3 linked regions of the Arabidopsis thaliana genome follow. The protein of the gene in region 3 interacts with the protein of the main gene of each other region in a pairwise test. Each region holds a gene or a part of one and is shown on either strand. Other genes may lie near its edges.

Region 1 (5,994 bases), on a different chromosome or scaffold from region 3:
TCACAAAACGTAACCTCGTAATTTTACCGTCTAAAAATGTAAACTCGTAAAAATTTCTGAATCAATAAATATCTCAAATTTAATAATAATGAATTAATGATGATGATAATTATTTATTATTGTTTTATAATAATAATTAATTAAATTATTATTTAAATGGTTAACCCATTTAACAACTCAACCCATCAAATGAAATGAGTTATGGGTTAGACCCAACTCATTTAACAAAATGAGTTGGGTCAACCCATAACTCATTTAATCATAAACTCATTTGATTATGAGTTGGGTTGGGTTGGGTTACCCATTTTGACACCCCTAGTAACAACAGAATGAATTTTGTTTATAGAGACAAAAAAACATGAAGTAATGAACATTAAAAAAAATCTTAGTAATATAATGGGTTCTCTAATATAATCTAACCTTCGAGTGAGAAAAAAATGAACATAAAAAAAAGAAACAAGAACAATAAAAAGAGTGGGAGACAAGAGGGTGATAAATGGTATAGCTACGGGACGGTGACGTATGATGTGAAAGAAAGGAAGAGCGCGGGTGATGATGGAATTAGGTGACAGGCATGTGAACAACAGTGAAGCTGCAAAGCCTGATTTGGTTGTTTCCCTTCTCTTTAAGCGTGCTTCCAACGTGTCTCTTTGATCATGACCTTCTTCTTCAAATATACAACTCTTCACTTCTATTTTCATTTGCTCTCATTTTCACATTGATTGTGTTCTTAGAATTTTGTTCCTCGTGCAATCTCCTCACTAGTTTAACTAAATAATTATACATTGATTTTTGTTGTGAGTCTACTTAAATTATGGTATCTATTATTGTACATTTCATAACTATACCACACCAAAAGTAGAGCATATTAAGCAGCCGGCAAAACAAAGTTCAATTGCTGCTTTCTTGTCTCTCTCGTATCATCACTCTCCTTTGCTAATTGCTCTCAGCCCATAATTATAAACGAGTAGAAGAATATTTAACACTCTTTTTCGTAAATTTTCATTTTTTACCACTTGTTAAATGCTCTGTCTTACTTTTTTTTTATCCATTGTAATTTTCATTGGCGGTATGCATATTTTTAGACAGACAAAATTTAAACCGATACGTGGTCCCATAACTATTGAAACTCTGATTATAATGGAAAACATATTAAATTTATAGGTATTTTAGACCACTCAGCCTCTTAAATATTGGATGGTCCCATTTCTATCTAAATCATTTTAACAACAACAAAAGAAAATATACCATAAAACAATCTGATTTGATTTTACTTATTGCTAAAACCATATAATAATTTTAATAAAATATAATAAACACACGCATGTTATTTGTGGACCTACAAAATAAAATAAAAAGAATAACAGAGACAAAAAAAAGTCATTTCAAATATATAAATCAAATTAAAATTAATAATATTTTCATGTTTTTTTAAGCTTCCTTACAAAACAGAAACCTGAAACCATGTTACCTATAACAACGACATGTATTTATTATTATTTCTCCATTAGATCTAACGACTCAGAATCACTCTCACTTACTCATTCTCAACCGTCAGATCTAACTACAGTACTCCACACCACATACGAACAAACCTAATCTATCCTTAATACCCTTACTTTTGTAGTTTATTACTAAATTTACCACTCCTTCCATGTTTTTGTTTCTCTCTTCTTCTTGATTGTTGCGCTTTTGTTAGCTTTCTCTGGTTCATTTTCCATGGACGGACCTTGACCTCTCTGCTTCCCTTCGTGCATTTTCTCTCTCTCACTATCCTCTCTCTTTCTAGTGTTTGTTTGATCCTCTGCGTACTCTGTTCTTCTTCTCTCTTCAGGTACTAGTTTCAATTTCTCTAAAAGGAACTATTGAAACCTCCTTCTCTAGTTTCAATTTTCAATCTGGGTTTGTTTGTTTGGTTCTTGTAGCTTCTTTGGATTCATTATCATTTGGGTTTAGTTTATTTTTCTCGTAAGTAAGTGATTTAGTTGTGATTCTGAATTTTAGGGAAATGCTGAAGAAGTTAGAGTAAGAAATTTTTGGTTTTTGAATGGAAAGTGATTGATTTTGGGGAAGATGAGTTCTGGGAACGATAAGGTTGAATTCTGGCTATGAAACCTAGGTTAAAGTTTCTAACTTTATCTTACTTGTTAAGCAAATCTAACCCAATTCTCATCTGAAACCCTAATTTTTCTGGGTTCTTCTTAAAATTGAGAATTTTGTTCATGCATCTATAGAAAGTGAAGATTTTTATGTAATTAGATTGATTTTGGGTTGTTCTTCTTGTTGTTGTGATGCTAAGCAGATAAAACAAGTCCTGCATATTGAAGATCTGATGTCTTATCGATTGCTAAGTGTGGATAAGGATGAACTGGTTACGTCACCTTGTTTGAAAGAACGTAACTACTTGGGTCTCTCTGATTGTTCCTCTGTTGATAGCTCAACTATTCCCAATGTTGTTGGGAAGAGCAATCTCAATTTCAAAGCTACTGAACTGAGGCTAGGTCTTCCTGAGTCTCAATCTCCTGAGAGAGAGACTGATTTCGGTTTGCTGAGTCCGAGAACACCCGATGAGAAGCTTCTCTTCCCGTTGCTACCTTCTAAAGACAATGGTTCTGCTACTACAGGGCATAAGAATGTTGTTTCTGGTAACAAGAGAGGATTTGCTGACACTTGGGATGAGTTTTCGGGTGTGAAAGGATCTGTTAGACCTGGAGGAGGAATCAACATGATGTTGTCGCCGAAAGTTAAGGATGTCTCGAAGAGTATTCAAGAAGAAAGATCTCATGCTAAGGGTGGCTTGAACAATGCACCAGCTGCCAAGTGTGTATTATATGATGATTTGTTTATGAGTTTGTTTATGAGTTTGTTTATGAGTCAAGAACGAATCTTGTGGTAATCTGTGTCTATTGTTTTGCAGGGCACAGGTTGTTGGTTGGCCTCCAATCAGATCATACCGGAAGAATACAATGGCTTCTTCTACTTCGAAGAACACTGATGAGGTTGATGGGAAACCTGGTCTTGGTGTTCTGTTTGTGAAGGTGAGCATGGATGGTGCTCCGTATCTGAGAAAGGTCGACTTGAGAACTTACACTTCCTATCAACAGTTGTCTTCTGCACTTGAGAAAATGTTCAGCTGCTTCACCCTTGGTGAGAATTTACTATGTATTTAAGCTAATCATTGATTCTACTGTAAAACAGAATGAACCAAAGAACAGTGATTTCGATTCTTGTTTGTGATCTCAGGTCAATGTGGTCTTCATGGTGCTCAAGGGAGGGAAAGAATGAGCGAGATTAAACTGAAGGATCTTCTTCATGGATCAGAATTTGTGCTTACTTATGAAGATAAAGACGGTGATTGGATGCTTGTTGGCGATGTTCCATGGGAGTAAGCTTCTTTTGGAACTCTCAGCTTTAATAACTGTGGTTTTGTTTCCGTTCAAAAGTTGAATCCTTGTTAAAACCTATTTGCAGGATATTTACTGAAACATGCCAGAAACTGAAGATCATGAAGGGTTCTGATTCTATTGGCTTAGGTAAGTTTTCCAACATCTTTCCCCCTAATCTGAATACAAACTCAATGGCTCATTTCATTGTTGATTTATTCTGTGGCAGCTCCAGGTGCAGTGGAGAAATCGAAGAACAAAGAGCGGGTTTGAAACGAAGATGCTCAAGACAAAAAAAAAACACTATGCACAGTTCCAATGTTTAAGTTTTATTTACTGATGTGTTTGAAAACTCTTTAGTCTTTTTACTAATTTGTGTTGTAAGACTTTGGATTCTCTTATTTGTGTGTGCTTGTTCAAAACAAATACATTCTTATGTGTGTGTTTCTACTTTGACCTTCAAGATATTTCGTCTCTACGCAAAATCTTGATTTGTTTATTGTTAGCACTTAGTACCAAAGTCTATAAGTGATAATTACGATAAAGAACCTTTAACCACACAAAGTGGAATCTCAAATGATGGTTATTATCTTTAAAACATGAAAGTGTGTAAATCTGGATAAGCTTTAGACTAATCGCAATAGTGTCTTCTACAATATTCTTACAGATTAAATACTAGAAGAACAAAAAAAAAATGTAACTACATATATATATTTTTTTTGTTTTCGATTTTTTTGTAACATACATATAATAACGTATAAAGAAGACTGGTGAGTAGGAAGAGTAGATAAATAAACCTCACCTTACCGAAATAGAGGGCATATCAAATACATGTGGAGCAAGAGTGGATGAGATAGAGAGAAAGGAGAACATTTATGTAGTGAGCAAAATAGAGTTTGACAAATTTATAGTCTCATACTTCTAATAGAGGTAGATGCTAACATAGCTACCCAAACGAAGGAAAGATAATAAAAGAATGTGACGCATAAAAATTTGAATTTTAGCAAACTTCTTTTGAGAATTGTGAGCTCTGTTAACTCGTATTTGTAAATTTTTTTTTTACTAACATCTAATTTTATTTATCTTTGAGCTCCAAATTTATCCACACTATTTTATTTTATAGTAAAGTTTCATAAACTAAAACCAAGATTTATTTTTGTATTTGCAATTTATGTGTTTTATTTTTCTGATATATAAAATACAATACATGTATTGCTACAAAATATATATAGTTCTCACTTTATATGAAGTTAATTTTTTTTCTTAAATGTTAGTATTCATATTCTAATTCCCTCTTCCCTACATCTAAAAGAGTATTAATTTTCTTTAGATATTCGACATCAGCTGTCAAATTAGTCTTATCAAATGGGACTCAGTGATTTGCACAAATGTAGCACTTCTAAATGAGTTTGTGGTTAGTGCACTTCATCGTTGACTTTATTTTCAAATTTGATTGTTTTGCTATTCGTAAGAACAATTATATCAGTCACAGTCATATGTCTTGTTAATGCTTTTCTTTCATATGAACCACTAATTCTTTTTTTCATTGATCAAATTAATTTTAGAGAAGCTTATGATATTTGACTTTGGTAATAATACCAATACTCAAAGAGAGTAGCGAGGCCTAAACGTTAACATATTATTTATTCATTTTTATTTTATTTTTCATAATTTTATATCAAAACATTGGTTATAAAATATATAAAGTTATAAATGTCATCTATTTGAATTTATTATATATATTCACACTTGGTTTATATGAAAACTAGAATAGTTCAGTCCTAAAAACATTTTAACAAAAAAAAACTAAATTTTTTGAAAATAGTTAATTCATAATTTACAATTTTAGTAATCAAGTATTTTTTATTTTATTTTTGATTAATGTTTTTGACTTACTGAAAATTATGTTTTGTATAAAACAAATCAGACACTTAAGCGGCTAATTTTACTTAAAATTGGGCATTCGAAGGTTCATGAACTCCTAAGCGGGTGTCTAGTCGCCGCCTAAACCGATTTATTGAACATTGAATGCTACAATGAAACTCAAAAAATCATTTTTACATAAACTAGACTTATATTTTTGTAGCTTTTATTAGTAGTGTTGTTGTGGATCACCATCCAAACTAAAACCGGTACAATACAAGTAATAAACAGGAAATATATATACTTGATTTCATATTTTCATACTAACACAAAGACATGTTACTCAAATTCCACTGTAGAAAAACTTATTATCTTCTTACTCAAATTCTACTGCTTTGTTCTCCGCCGTTGCACATTTATCTCTACATGAGTGGACAACGTTGGATTTGTATGGTTGAGTTATTAGGTTTATTGGAGGCTACTTTCATAGAGAAATGAGAACACCGATCTTCTCAATCAGTACTATTGTGAATCAAGAATGCTAGATAACGATTTCATATTAGAAAGTTTAAAGGGTATAAAATACTTTATGGTAACTAATAGAACAATGATAGAGAAGTTTGAGGTACCGATAGATGGTTATGCACTTAAATTTAACAAAATATATATAATTTGGTATTAAAATTATGTTTTTGAAAGTTTTGGTTTATAAAAAAATTTCGTTTGTGATATGTAGCTATATAAATAT
Region 2 (5,044 bases), on a different chromosome or scaffold from region 3:
AAGTTTTAAACAGGTCATAATTAAAATGAACATTGCAAATCAACACCACTATATATAAGGGAAATGTTTAACAAAGTTGTGCAAGAACGCTCAGTTAGAAACAGAGTAACAAGGACAACAAATACTCTACATAACTTTTCTAAGTTAAGGAAAAAATTCATAAGAAGTAAACCTGAACCGAGGACAAAACCCGCTGCTTATGCTCTTAGTCAAATTATGAATAGGGAATTCATTTGCGTCATCATCTCTGAAACACAAGTAAACACAAACTTTATAAGATATTTTTTCGGAAATTAGGAATTATTAAGCTGTCTTTTAGTAGTTATAGAAGTTGCCAACTTACTTTGGTTCATCCGATGTGAACTTAATTGCGTATATGGCACATGGTCTGTTGTAGCAGTACTTAATACCAAACTTTCTTTTATCTCCTAACCAACCGGCAAAAACCAAATATTGAGCTGATCCATTACTGTTTGGACTCCAAACAACCTGTCCAACACTTATTGATCTAGGAATTCCTTTGATTGGCTCGACCTCTCCACTGTTAACAGAAAAAGAGAAACAACCATCATAAAAAGTACTGGGTAGTTGTTCTTTTCTTATGGAGAGATTGATGGAAACCTGTCAACATTGATAACAAACAGTGCAGGCTGCCTTTTTCCGGCGTATGCTTCTCCCCATTCCTCTTCCCAATCCCCTTCACCTTTCCAGCTTCCAATACCCTTGTCCAAAGAATTTTCTTTCTTGTAATAACCAAGATGATCAAATGTAGGCTTGGGACGAGATGGCTCCTCGGCGACATACGCAACATGAGTCTCATCTGAATCCCAAGAGATCCCTTCAAACCTATCATACATAAGCCTTACTCATTTTTATACTTCTACAAGAACTTGTCTTTAAAAATCAGCCAAAAACAAAGTGCCATACCATCCATCAACGTATACAGAGCCATGAACTTTCTGTGGAATATGGAACTCCTTCTCTAGCTGAGAAGAATTCCATATCTCAAACTTTGTAGGAGATTCATTTTCAGGATTTCGAATTACAAGGAGCTTCAATCCCGATGGAGATGGGACAAAAGCCGATGCACCAGTCATCTCGATGGGAAATGGCGCCCAGTGAAAGTTTACAGATTGGTTACTTTCGTTCGAAATATGACCCGACAACATAAACTTCTTCTTTTTATTAGCCAAAAGGTTTGCTTGACTCAAGGCAAACATTGCCTGAGAACCTGTAGTAAGAGCATCAAAGTGAAAACATCATTTCATTTGGGAAGATGATTTTCAACAACAAAAGACTCAAAAATCTTAATTTACAAAGTCCCAACTTGAATATGCAAAAGTGATTACCAGAATCAGAATTAAAAATCCAAGCTTTATCAATGCTGGGAATATTAATGAACTCTTGAAGTAACTTTGACTGTGTGGCATACTCTTCCTCTGTAGTTGGGTCCAAACCAACATGCAATTCTTTAGCCGAATCAGTTCCAGAAGAATCCATAGCTACAAATCTTCGAATCCAATTCTTGTAACTGAAACAAGTATCTCATAAATCACTAATGATTGCAAAACAATTCCATTAATCAGATTCATCATCCATAACTCTAAACCAATCAAGTTCTTAGTAGATATGATTGGCTTCAAATTCGTTAAAACAGAACAAACAAAAAACCAATCAAAGTAATAAACTTTCGGATTAAAAACTGTCATATAAACGATACCCATCAAAGCAATACCATCAATGATTCTCAATTCGTGGTAACACCATCAAAGTAATGAATTTTCGGATTGAAAAACAGAGACTGAGAGAAGAAGAAGAAGAGCTTACGGAGACTGAGTGAGTGAAGGAGTGATGAAAGTAGATCGGAAAAGAAGGCGACGAAGATGACGATGAGAAGAGCTCAAGTCAAATCCCAAATTGGTGGAGCAAGTTATTGGGTAGTGACTAAAGATTCTCGCCATCTAATATTAAACAAAACAAAAAAAAGTTGAAAACTTTCGATAGTGATATCCATTACATTGCCCATTTCTTAATCCAAAATTTTATATCTTTCACTATGTCCCAAACTTATGTTAGTATCAAATACTAAACTTTATTGGTTATGTTAGTATCAAATATCTTGAGCATACATATAAACTTCGTATAATCAAAACTCATCTTTTACAGAATTAACCAAAGCTAGTTTACATCTATATAACGTATTTGTAACCCTATTGCTTTTTCTTTCTTTACACCAAACTTTTTTTTATCTAAACAAAGTAGAATTTGTTTTTGCCTCGACCAAAAGGTGTTTTGAGACAATGGATCATAAGGCAGTAGGAGCTTCGGATCCTTTCATGATTCTGAGTTTTTGACAAGATGAAGAGAACATGTCCCATGGAACATCACCGACCAACATCCAATCTCCATCTTTGTCTTCATAAGTAGGTACAAATCCAGATCCTTTGTAGCCTTCTCTCTCGGAATATTCACCTACTGTGAACTTGAACATGTTCTCTAGTGCTTTGAGAAGCTCTGGATAGTTTTTGTACATCTTGAGATCTATCTTACGGAGATATGGAGCTCCGTCCATACTCACTTTCACATAACTCACGTTTTTGTTGTTGTTGTTCTTACGGTTAGATCTCACTGGAGGCCATCCAACGATTTGTGTTCTGAAGTTTACAAATCAAGATTCATTATTAGTACACCGATTGATATCAAGAAGTTTGGATATTAAAACTATAACTTTCAGATCTCAACTTACTTTGCAGGAGGAGGAGCAGATTCTTCTGTTGAGTCGTTGTTCTTGCGCTTGTTGTTGCTTCTGACGCAAGAAAGTTCTAGTTGTTGTTCTTCTTGTGCTCCGGGTAATCCCAAACGAAGCTCTGTGTCCTTAAGGTTAAGCCCATTGGTGACTTCCATATTCTCTCACTATACTTTAACGGAGAAGCTCTCTTCCTTAATTCTTGAACTACTTCTTCTTCTCTTGTTATTGCTCTTCTTGGGATTGTGATTTGATATCCTTGAAAATGCTTGTGTGTGTTGTGTAATGGTGAGGGAGAGAGAGAGATTTATATAAGGAAAGATGCTTTGAAATTAGGGTTAACGAGAGAGAGAGAGAGATATGAATTATGACGTTGTCGGGGAGCATGAGGAGGCAAGTTAGAGGCAAGGGGACAAAGGTGGGACACAAAGATTTTGGACGCGGCTTCTTTCTTATTTTCAACGGTCCTGATTTGTCTCCGCCAGTTGCGTACGCGAGATCCTAGCCGTTTCTTTCTCTTACGGTCAAATGAGTAAAGAGAAAATCATAAGAGTAAGAGAACTTCTCGACCTTCGTCCTTCTACCACACGATCACGCTAGGTTTATGTTTTGCAACTATTCGTTATTCGGATTGATTCAAGAAAATATCTAGATACATTTTGTATAGTTCAGATTGGATCATCGGATATCATAGTAGAAAAAATGAAACTAGTGTTGGACATGTTGATCATATAGATCAAGCTTTTTCGATCACCCCAGTTGTGGGGTAGTTTTCATGAAAATATTTCATTTTTGTGTAAAGGTTTGGTATATGGTAGAGTAGATGTCTAGAATAGATGATCAAATATTAATGGTCAATTTGTATCGAAGAATTAACAATTTCCTTTTATAAATATTTCGACAGTTTTTGCGTGAAAAGTAATGTTTTGTTTGCAAGAAACTATAGAACAAAATAATAGACAAAACACTGTAAAATATTATTTATTTTCTCGTAGACACATATATAAATTGTAAGTATAGGTTTGTACAATTATGATCAATAGTAAATAAATTGGGGAGGGAGATGCATGTGGATGAGGGTGAAGAGTGTTCTTAATGGAATAATGGATGCAGGAAGTATGGTAAGGCCATGTGATATGCTGTCTCAAATAACATTTTTTCTATTTATTTTATTTTAATTATTGTGTAAAATTTCATTTTAACATTTATTATAAATACAAATATCTATATGAAACTATATATTTTGTTGAAAAAGAGTTGAAAAAAATATCTAAAGAGATGATTTAAAAAAAAAAAAAAACCATTTTAAATGGGCTTTTGGGGACACGGCCCATGTGGTATTTCGAGCAAGGTAATACAATTAATCCCTTCTCGAAATTACGCATAACTATGTTCATTTAACTTGCAATTCCCATACCGCATGCACCTTAATTTGATGTTTATATTTGTGTTGGGCGTATATTCATTCCACAATCACTGTCCACTAAGAAATTTTATTGTCTATCTAGCGACAACGAGAACAAAAACTAGATCATATATGAACATATTGACAAATCAAAATGTATATGGGTTATTTTACCAATAAGCATTATCGTTTTTACAACAAGTATAAAGTAATGCTCCCTACGTTTAAAGTTTATAAGATGGTTGAACAATTTTTTGTCATTTTAGTTGTTGTTTTTGTTTTTCCATACAACATTTGTGTTTTAAATTAATAATTAGTACTCATATTATTGAACTATTATTAATCAAAAAGTTATTTCTAGTTTCTTATTCTTTTCATATTCATCCAAAACAATTTTTTTTATTAAAAAAAACATAAAGAGTATAACAAATAAAAAAGTATATGTATAAACTTGATCATGAAATACAGAGATGCTAGTCGCTAGAGGCTTGCGTGTTCAATATAAAACAAGACGTATGCTTATAAGAAGTAACATTTGTTAAATCTGTTTTGGAAATCCCTCTCATTGTGTGGGAGATGATAACATAATTGTAGAGTTTACATGCTATATAATAGTATAACGGATTTTCTGATCCCAATAGATGGATCTCCTGCAGGTAGGTGAATCATGATAATATCATTTATACTTATGTCACCATGTGTCCATGTTAACTGTTATTTTCACGCTAAACCATGTTCAACGCATGTTGATGAATATTCATTTTCTTACATATTTATCAAATATGGTGTGTAGTTTGTTCTCATATGCATATCGATTGTCAACGATACAAGAATCCATACCTAAGCTTTGAGAGTTTCGTGTGGCATGTTAATTACTAAAACCTATCAAACTC
Region 3 (10,582 bases):
GTTCAATAGATTATGACCAAATTCAAACTCTTCTTCCTTGTAATAGACTTTGGTCAGGCCATCACGAGTCGTGACGCAAGTGTATTCCTCAGAGTCAGATAGATCAATCCCCGCCGCGAATTGGAATCTCTTGGAATATCGAGCCAGGTCAAATCCTTTGGAACCGGCACCGGTATGGCAAACCGGATTGATCCCGATGCTGGATTTCTCAAGCGCAGCGACGATACCTAAACCAATTCCACCGCCATTATCGTACCTCTTCGAACTTCCAGGCGACGGGAATTTCATCATATCTAAAGGACTTGTTTGACTAGCCGTGAAATAATCCGGCGAAATAGTGGAGTTTTTACCTGGAACCACCATGTGGGAGAGTTTCCAGGTCATTGGATTGCTTGATAACATATTAATCGAGAACTGAAAAAAAGAAACAGAAAGATATATGACGATGAGAAGAGCAATGGAAGAAGCAAATCTTATAGGAAAATCTGATTGTGGAGAAGAGAAAGAAGATGAAATGGAGAAGCTACAGACTTAGCCCCACCGGATATCCGCATTTCTTTACGGGTCGGATATTCGCATTTTGTTAATAAAGCTCTTTACGTTATCTATTAAACTCTTTTTCCTTTCAATATATCCAGATTCTATTTTTAAAAAATTACTGCATATTATATTAACATTTTTGCCACTTGTAAACATATAATGCAATATGTAATTTGAATTTGAGACAATTACGTAACTAGATTCTTAATTCTTCTTCTTCTTTTTTTTTTTTTGAATATAACTAACTGTAGGATTTGTCAAGTTAATAGTTAGTGGCTAAGAATATTCGTTTTGGTTTAGATAAATTATAGTAGCATAATTTCATAACAATTTTAAACTATTTGTTTCAATTTTTTTAATTCCAATTAATCCTTGAATTTCACTGGCTTAATTGATTACTGAATTGTATATTTTTTTTTCTTAAAAGATATTCATTGAAATGATTATATTGAAAACCCTTAAAACATTAATAAGGTCGTTGTCAAATATATCAGAAAATAAATATATAAAAATTAATAAGACAAATACCCTTATTGCCTTTGTTTGAATGGGCCTGAAATATTATTATTAGGCTTAATCGTACAACTTAAAGTAAAAATTGTAATTGAAATTTAATAAGACAATACCCTTATTGATTTTAATGGGCCTGAAGTATTATTGTTGGGCTTAATCGTACAGTTAAAATAAGATTTGTAATTGGGCCTAGTGAAAGCGATTGGAGTGGATGATATCATGATAATATGATCAAATGACGTCAGAAGATCCAAATATAATTGTTTTATTAAGTTTGGCCTTTTCCCATCTGAAAAATCTAACACGTGGGAAAAAAATAGTGAATGAATAACTCTTTATCCCAATGATCAAAAAAAAATTGGGTAAAGAACTACAAAAAAAAATAAAAAACCCAAGTCAAAATTTTCAGATTGTGAATAATGGAATTCAAAAATTCCAAAGAAACATGGAACCATCGGCGTAAGTCTCTTCTCCAAGCTGATAATAATCTTGTGTAGGCGAAAGCTGCTCTCTGAAACGATCACCGGAGTATTCATCGGAGAAATCATCAAACCCAGGGAATAACCCAAACTCCGAAGCGAAGTTACCCGAACCAACCGTCGGAAGCATACTCAAAAACTCCGAATCAACGTCCATCGATGTTGAAGCAGATTCTTGCCGTATCTCGTATCCTGCTCCGCCACTTGAATCATCCTCCGCCGAATTAGCGAACCTCGCAGCAGCTTCTCTTATCTCAGATCGCGACAAGTTACGTCCGCCGGAGATCACCGGAGGATTATCAGGGAAATTGAACTTTGCGTTGTTGCCACGGAGACAATAAAGAGCCGCGTCGAAAGCACGCGCCGCCTTCTCAGGAGTATCGTAAGAGCCCAACCAAATACGTTCTCTGCTGTTGGGAAGTCTGATCTCTGAAACCCATTTTCCCCATTTCCTCTTCCTCACTCCTTTGTACTTTGACTGCATCGAAGAAGACGACCCTTCCATCACGATTAAACCAAACAAAGACGCGATTGAACCAACCCGGTATGATTTCTCTGTTTTCCGGTTTAATTTTGTTCTGTTAAGTTTTTTCAGTGAGCTCTGTTCTTCAGTGTTAGTGTTGATTTGAATTGAGATAATTGTATTTGGCGCTTCAGAAATTTATTTATACGAGTGAAATAAAAGAGTGAAGAGTGAGTTTTTGACTTTTTATGGCGCGTGAAGAAGAAAGAAGGTCAGCTTCAAAGGTCAAAGGGAGCGCGTTTGTACTTAAAACGCCGCAAAGTGTCAGGGGAATGGACACGTGGCGGATGTTACTAGAAGCTTGAGTCTTAATGTGTGTGGGTCACAACTCACACGGGAAATCTCAGAGACTGTTTGGTTTTCTTGTCCTTGTCCTTGTTTTTCACGTGATTCTTTCTTTAACTCCTCTCTTTTCGTTTTCAAACGTTGAAATGTTGAATATTTCGCTGCGTCTAGAGGATACTGGTATAAAAGAATCTGAAATGATCCCTGATTCTTAGGAGGCACTGAAGAGAAGAAGAAGAAACGACCAAAGATTCATGATTAATGAAGGTAATTGTTTAGTTACATTAACATTACATCTTAGTATCTCTGTATAAGATATGCTCCTCATAGACTTGTCAAGCATTATACTTGTTATACAAATATGGAAACAAGAAAGTACAACAACATCAAGTTAGAATGAAAAATCAAATCACTGTCCTATAAAAATGTTTATATACCGTGCAGTATCTTCTTCTTCTCAGTTTGTTGTTTGCAGTACATACACACAAAAAAAAACATGTACTTTGCGATGGCCTCGAATGATAATGTAAGTTGACTTGGTATATTTGCATCTTTTTATTTCTATCTGTTGAAAGAAGCTGCAGCAGAAGTGTCTTCATAGTGTACTTTCCAAGCATTTCCGCTGTCTGTTTCGCTGCAGGCTTGGTTTGTGGTTGGGATAGCTGCAAGATCTCCGTCTAAGCTCATTTGCTGAACTTCTACTGATGATAGTATCTTTATGTTCTGCACGCAGTTCACAAACTCTCTGTGGAAAAAACAAACAGACAAGAATTATCAGAATTGTTCAATCTTGACTGTTACAGATAGATTTTTCAGGTCTGGAACGTACTCCCAAGGATCATCACCAACTAGTAAAATATCGTTTTCGTGATCGGTGTAGACGAGTTTCCAATCAGAGGTTAGCGGATCTTCGAGCTGTCCTTCGATGCCAAACATTCTCGCTAAGTCATGCCTAAGTTCATCATAGCCGCTATAACGGGTAACATCTATTGATCTACCTACTGACCCTCGTTTTTGAACCTTCAATGATTTAACAACTTTCGGCATTTAGCATTCGAAAATTAAGAAGCAAAAGATTAGAGCTATGGAAAGGGAGAGAAAGATCTCTAACCTTTGTATATGTTCGCATTCGTTGAGTCTGATTGGGCCACAGTCCTCCACCATTCATGATTCCTGAATCATTGATGCCGCCAACCTCATTTGAACATCCGGGCTTAAAGGGAATGCTGGGAATACCAAATGACTGAGAACTGATTGCAGCACTGGACAGCTCCGTCTCAATGTCTCTTGGTGTGTTGCCATAGTTGGGAACCAAGTTTTGAAAGTCCTTTTGAGAATAGAGTGGATCAGAAGTTACGGCTTCGAGATTACCAGGGAAAGCTAAGTTGTTTCTTGGATGATGAGATTGGCAGTCTCCATCAAAACCAAATGATGGTAGTGGGAAAGTTTGTTGCTGCTGTACAGGGCCAACAACATCAGGACAGTACGTCGTTCCCGCTGTGGATACATCGATTTGATCTGTTACCGCGCTTTTAAATCTGAAATGTTCACCAGCACTCTTCATATTCATCATGCCTTGACTGATCCGGCTCTCAGTTTTTGTATAAAGCTCTTGGACCGGATTGCTTGCGCGCTCAAAGACTGAATCAGATGCAGATACAGATGCAGCTTGTCCTTGCTGTTGATTTCTGCTCAGGAAATTTGTCGGTGAAACATTATCATGTCCCGTGTTATTGGCGGAAGGTGAGGTTGAACAAGAAGGAGCTTCTCCATCTGTGTGGCCAGAATGTGATCTTCCAGCGGCTACAAGATTTTTGTTACTCATCTGTCCTTGCTGCTGAGGACTCACCTGAATCTGTGGAGGCTGCATGAAAGTTGAAGCTGGGAAGCTGTTATTACCATGTGCCAAGGGCTGTTGATTTTGAGACGACAGAAGTTGTTGCAATTGATGGCTTTGTGTCTGCTGCAACGCTGATAATTGTGGCTGTAAGGATGAGCTTACTGGAGGAATCGACTGCTGCTGTTGCTGCTGCTGTAGCTTCTGCAGTAGCTGCAACTGAAGCTGTTGTGAAGGACTTGGTTTTGATGATTGTTGTTGCATTTGGAGTTGCTGAGGATTTTGGGACAGATTTTGTTGTAATGAATGGAGAGAGGACTGTTCTTGCTGGTTTCTTAATAACTGGCTACTGTTATGCATTTCCAGTTGCTGCTGAAACTGCATTTCTTGCGCAAACGATGTCATTTGAGACAAGCCTTTATTCCCCATAGAATTTATGTTCTGGTGTGTCATTTTAGCACCAGTAGGGAGCATTGACTGCTGCTGAAGCTGAGACTGAGAGAATCCAGTAGGTTGGTTTGGACTTTGACAAGAGACTTGGTTAGCAACAGCAATCGTACCATTGTTATAAATCCCTTGTTGCTGCACCTGTTGCTGTGACATCTGTAGTTGTTGTTGTTGTTGCAGTTGTTGTTGTTGGTGTTGGTGTTGTTGTTGTTGTTGTTGTTGTTGTTGTTGAGATTTCACCATGGCTGGTTGTGCTTGCATCTGTTGGCTGATATGGTTAACCGTGTTCGGTTTGTTGAATTGGGAATTTGCGGAAGAGAGGTTTGGGGATTGGAAGTTCAACAGCTTGGAAGGGTCGTTGGAAGCAAAATTGTTTGGTAGGTTAAAAGATGAGAGCGCGGACGGGAGCTGAGGAGTAGCAGAACCTGACAATGGATTGTTTTGCTGCATACTCATCCATTGAACTAGACTTAAACCAGGGAACATCGAACTCTGTGCGTCCTTCATCCCAAAGTCTTCTCCCATCCAAGGCATTGCTCTTTTGAAAGCATTTTCCATGTCTAACTCATCATCTGCAACAAACCACCAAGGTTAGTATCCGGAAACTCAGTCAAAGATCTATGGGAAAAAAATGAACGAAAGCAGTAAACTCACCTGGCATCCCGGGTTGCCTCGGGTACTTAGGTCTGAAAAATGGAGGAGGACATATGTAAAAAGGAGTTATGACGGGTTCGATTTCCCATATGGATACTCGGCTTGGCCTATCTCCAGCTGTTGATTCATCCCATCCTACCTGTTTAAACCATGAACAAAAGATTCAGAAGAAATGACCATCATAAACAGTTTAGCATAACTCGGATATGTCATTACCTGAAGATTACGCCATTGTGAGCCTTTCCATCTTACAGGGTCAAGATCACTAATACCTGTGACTGTACCCATATATCTACGAACCCCACAATCCTCAGTCTCAAACATCATCCGGAATCTCATTCCTAGAGATACTTGAGCGTATAAGGCTTTGTTGTATTTGGCTAAAGGAACTACAAACTCTGAAGGACTTGCCCTTGGATTGAAGAAGATGGTAAAAGGGCTACTATTGGCATTAGCATGAGCTGCAGCTGCAAGTATCCCAATGTGCATACTGTCGCTGGATATGACCGATGAGGAAAGAGTCGGAGTTTGTCTATTTGCACGTCTTATACCCAACATCAGCTGTGATTTCTCATCTCTGCAAACCCAAGTACCCTTATGAGAAGATGAAAGTCCAATTCTGCTTAATGTTTTGATCAAAGTATGACTCATACCTTACAAACAAAACTGAATCACCCGCAAATAGTCTCTTTGTGCTAACAAAAACGCTCCAACCTGTGGTAAGCAAGTGTCTTTTTGGTTGGCCTGAGATCAGATTACATCAAAGAAAACAAATCAGGTTGAAGTTTTCAATCTTTTAGACTAATAAAACAAACTTTAGATGATTCAAACCTCGATAGATATGTCTGAAAGTCCATGTAGTATCATGTAAATCTTTAGCTACAATCTCTTGCGCAGGCGGTTGCATCGAGAAATCCTATTTTAAGCACCCTTAGAACTTTTAGCAAAACAGATTCAAAAGTTTGAAGCAAAAGAAACTGAGAGTAGCTTTGATCAGAGAGACATACAAGAGGAGGGAATATTTTCTCAGCTGCACGACGCGGTACAGAGAATCCACCATGAGTGCTTGTGTCACTTGCAGTAAGAGTCTTGCAAAAAAACTCAGTAGGTTGTCTGTTTAGCTTCAAGCCCATATCAGAAGCTAGCAATGCTTCTCTATCATACTGTCACACATTTTGAGCAAAGATCAGCATTAAAGTCCTCAACTTTAAACCAAGATAGCACAAGAAGAATGATATAATTCAGACCTTATTCACAGGTTGAAGAGTCATTTGTGCATAGACTTCATCTGTTTCGGTATCAGCCTGATTCAGAATTTCACAAAAGTCCTGATTAGTTCATCTTCTTGTTGATTCACAAGTTGGAGTCAGAAGAGACTTACATGTAATGTAACACTGTGAAGCAAGCAAATCAGCTTAGAAGGAAGATTTGGGTAATTTGGTATAAAATCTGTTTGCTTCTGCATCGATGCTGCAACCTGAAAAAAGGTTTCATTGAACATATTACTTAGATTGCTACCAAAGGTTTCAAAATAGTTTGAAACGCAATGAACTTACTTGCTCGCTGTGTCCTTGAGGGAAGTAAACCACAAGACTTCCCACAGGAGGTAATGAAACTAAAGGCCCTGCACAAGCGTGCCATAGTTGAGAATTGATTGGCTTCTTCTCTCCTGTTCATCATCATCACACACATATTCAAATCTGTTAAAAGTGATAGAATTTTTGCATAGTTTCATTTAAAGTCTGGAAATTTTATGAGCGGCATTTATGTTTCAACCACTTTATTAAATAAAGTGATAGAAGAACTCGATTTGTGACTTTGTGCTGACTCCAAAGTTGAAATTGAATAACAAAATTCATTTTTTCAATGAGAAAATCACAAACATGAAATGCAGAAACTCCTTGATGAAGAAATTGAATAGTATAAAATCTGGAAAAGAAGAAGATAAATATAAAGCTTGTGTACCTTCGTTGGAACTTGGAAGAAATCCATTTGATGGAGCTTTCATGGTTTATAGAAAGAACGAAAAAATTGGTTTGGTGCAGGGAAGAAACAGAGTTCTTCTTCTTCAGCAAAATTAACGAATCTGTATTTGCTCAAGAGAAGAGCACGAGAGAAACTAAATAGTAATAATTTTGGAAACAAAAATCATTCTGCTGCTAAGGAAAAAGAAACAAAAGCTTTTTTCTTCTTTTTAGTTCATAAGAATATTTGAAGCTTCAAAGCAAATTTTTAAGCTCTTAAAAAGCTTTGAAACTTTTCTTTTTTTTCTCGTGTTTCTGCAGATTCTCAAGTGTTTTTTCAAAAAAATAAAAACAATAATCGATATTGAGATTTAAGCCGATTGGGATCGGATACATGCGGAAAGATGAAATCTTTTCTTATGCCTTCTGACGTGGCACCCCACTTGATGTCTTCTTCTTGTCGGTCCCACCTTTTTTATTTCTTTTTATTTTTATCTTTTCCGATTATAATTTACTGTTGTTGGAAAAACAGTCCATGGTTTTAAAATCTGTTAACTTTCCCTCGTTTTTATAACCATATTTTTAATTTTTTACTTTAGTAATACGGATTTTCTTATGAATGAGGTTATACCATAAACCCGGATATATTGAGAAAAACCTAAGGATTAGGTTCGGCGGACCGAAAATTGCAAGCCAAATGGGGACTTAAATATTTTCTAATCCAAAGTTGTAAACTCTTGGTTACCAGAAAAGATGTCCCACTTTTTTTCTTTTATATACATATTTTCTGTTATAATATAGTAGTAGCTAATAAGTTTATTCATTTATATGGATTGGTCCAAATTGAGACATGTCCGTATAATGCGAGAAAAAAAAAAACACTACTAGTAATTTAATGACTTAATTATGATTAGAATAATATTCCTTTTGATACGCAATGGAGCACCCACTAGCCGCAAAAGGAGGAGAACTTCACATGTTTACAGAGCTACGGACATCATTATACTCCAATTAAAGCTAAGCCTTCATGTGTAATTATTAATTTTTCAGGCAATTATTTTATTCATCTTCTTCTTTTTTTAATCAATAGTATAAAGTGTTCGTTTTTGTTTTAATTAATGTATAAAGTTCTTTACAATTAATCTGGACCGGAGTAGAGTTGTTCCTTACTTTCAGCTCTCTACGTATGCATATAAAATGTAGTTGTAGAGCCTTTTTCCTTTCAACGCCGATCTTTCTTATGAATTTTGCTTTCAATTAACATATACTATAATAGTATTGTATTTCTGAATCTCAGTATACATGTATTTAGTGGGGGAGGTTTTGACCTAATTATTACCTTTTTGTTGATTTATATGTAATTAGGGATTTTCTATGTTTAGACAAACGGAAATAATTTGGAACATTTAAATATCTTTCGAGAACAACTCTGACTCTTTCCAAAGTAAATATTCTTCATTGATATCATGTCAATACATTCATTGAAAACATGATGTTATTTAATTAATATGAATTATATATAAAAGATTCAAATATATAGTTTATGTTTTGATCAAAACAGAAGAGGGTTAATAAATTAAAACATTTCACATGTAAAAGAATTCAAGTGGTAATCTTTTGGTGAGAACATATGAGATGATCACACCTCCAAATGGACATTAAACAAAAACCATAAGAGCTCATTAATATATGTTCAACTTATCGCGGTTAAACAAGAAATACCGAAGATTAGCCATGAACTTAGCAGTTTAATATACATCTCTTTCTAGAGTAATTTATAATTTACCACATGTAAATTGATTAACCAGACAGCTACATGTTTATAAATGTTAAACAAGAGATGAGGTGAAGCGATCTCAAGAGCCTTACCTAGTGAGCAAAAGAAAAAGGAATGTAAAGTTTGATAAGTTAGGTTTAAACATATATTATAGAGGATCAAAATTTGAAAAGATATGGGACGACAAAGTAAATCTCAACAAGAATAAAAAGTTGGCATGCTTTAGTGTTTTTTATGCCTTTTTGGGTCAATATTTGCTGCGCGTGGAGAGTATATGTACGTACAACAATTGATGTGTTTAGAAATCACTCCTCATCAAAACGAATTAACCATTCTAGTAGTAGTAACACTCAATCATTGTTGATATTTTTTTCACCTCCCACTATTGACTTTTATATCTATATAAAATTAAATTATAATTGGATTTGATCCACGCATCCTGCAAAAGTTTCCTCAAATACATACGCATGCACCATATATAACAAAAACTTGGGACTTTTGTGAATTCCTCAATTTCTACCACCATTACAGAAAGAGTCAATAAATATATCGTTTTTACTAAAATAACTAAAACACAAGAAAAATGTATGTGCACGTGAGTGTGGGTGCAGCATGCACGTGAGGTGTGGCAGAGGATGTCGGGAGAGACAGGCTCTAGACTCCGACCGAGTCTTTCGGTTTAGCCAAAATGGTTTTGCTTTTAAGTGAGTGTATGCCTCTATGTCTCTTCTCCTCATCGTAACCACACACACTCTCTCTCTCGTTTGTTCTACTATTTCCCAACCAACAATATTTTTTATTTTTCTGTTAACTGGAATTTAGACTATCTTAAAATCTTGTTTTGCACACTAGTTTAATGTTTCAGTAGTACAAAAGTACATATGTTCTAATGACGTTATCAAACAAGGTATAAAACCATGAAATTCTGAACCAAAATCAATATGAAAAAGCTGTGTATTTTTGACATAGAAAACGTTTCTAGCGGCTAATTATGATTGACATTATGGTGAAAGGAATTGATCTCTCAACCAATGTGGTAAATTTTTATACTATGAATCTTGACTATCATCTATTGGTTTAACATTGATGGTTCTCTCAACATTCTTCTTTCTTAACTTTTAACAAAAAAAATCTTTTATACAGTGTTGTGTCAGATTAATAAACCATAAATTTCATCAAAAATTAATTGGTTCAATGAAAAAAAAGTTCCTAATTAACTTTGACATTTTTCATGTGGTAATTTAATTTTTGACTCGTTAATCGATATAGTTGTTGTTACACAACTTGTGGGGAGAAATTTCACTTTACCCTTGATTATTCACATTTTTCATTTCTATTTTGCATACTACAACCGAATTCATGATCTAGTCAGCAAAAAAAAAAAAAAAAAAAAAAAAAAAGAAAAAAAACTGGTTAACGTTTACTGTGTTTACAACTTGGTTTTACATTTGTTTATTTGCTCAATCCAATAATTAACCCAGATACGGATGAATCTAGCCCAAACAGACTCATCAGTACATTTAATTGGCTTCGCATATTAATTTTTGCTAAGACCGAGCAGGC

The links.
Region 1: the proteins of ARF19 (region 3) and IAA8 interact in binary tests that used the Arabidopsis thaliana proteins (3 or more experiments, as listed by UniProt).
Region 2: the proteins of ARF19 (region 3) and IAA1 interact in binary tests that used the Arabidopsis thaliana proteins (3 or more experiments, as listed by UniProt).

The regions. Positions count from the first base shown.
Region 1 is NC_003071.7:9,634,804-9,640,797, forward strand, and holds IAA8 (indoleacetic acid-induced protein 8), read left to right. Parts: upstream 1-1,576; 5' UTR 1,577-1,834; exon of another isoform or gene 1,835-2,004; 5' UTR 2,005-2,073; coding exon 2,074-2,094; exon of another isoform or gene 2,095-2,302; coding exon 2,303-2,820; intron 2,821-2,917; coding exon 2,918-3,147; intron 3,148-3,243; coding exon 3,244-3,385; intron 3,386-3,471; coding exon 3,472-3,533; intron 3,534-3,612; coding exon 3,613-3,656; 3' UTR 3,657-3,942; downstream 3,943-5,994. UniProt on the Arabidopsis thaliana protein: Aux/IAA proteins are short-lived transcriptional factors that function as repressors of early auxin response genes at low auxin concentrations.
Region 2 is NC_003075.7:8,359,042-8,364,085, reverse strand, and holds IAA1 (indole-3-acetic acid inducible), read right to left. Parts: upstream 3,091-5,044; 5' UTR 2,905-3,090; coding exon 2,747-2,904; intron 2,655-2,746; coding exon 2,306-2,654; 3' UTR 2,053-2,305; downstream 1-2,052. Other genes in the region: AARE (acylaminoacyl-peptidase-like protein), read right to left, coding at 173-247, 344-541, 622-846, 928-1,231, 1,350-1,531, 1,828-1,961. UniProt on the Arabidopsis thaliana protein: Aux/IAA proteins are short-lived transcriptional factors that function as repressors of early auxin response genes at low auxin concentrations.
Region 3 is NC_003070.9:6,625,494-6,636,075, forward strand, and holds ARF19 (auxin response factor 19), read right to left. Parts: upstream 7,641-10,582; 5' UTR 7,287-7,640; coding exon 7,244-7,286; intron 6,948-7,243; coding exon 6,835-6,947; intron 6,756-6,834; coding exon 6,660-6,755; intron 6,583-6,659; coding exon 6,526-6,582; intron 6,442-6,525; coding exon 6,286-6,441; intron 6,195-6,285; coding exon 6,110-6,194; intron 6,023-6,109; coding exon 5,932-6,022; intron 5,856-5,931; coding exon 5,495-5,855; intron 5,418-5,494; coding exon 5,279-5,417; intron 5,197-5,278; coding exon 3,452-5,196; intron 3,361-3,451; coding exon 3,170-3,360; intron 3,086-3,169; coding exon 2,902-3,085; 3' UTR 2,190-2,901; downstream 1-2,189. Other genes in the region: AT1G19200 (cyclin-dependent kinase, putative (DUF581)), read right to left, coding at 1-402; AT1G19210 (Integrase-type DNA-binding superfamily protein), read right to left, coding at 1,480-2,037. UniProt on the Arabidopsis thaliana protein: Auxin response factors (ARFs) are transcriptional factors that bind specifically to the DNA sequence 5'-TGTCTC-3' found in the auxin-responsive promoter elements (AuxREs). Could act as transcriptional activator or repressor.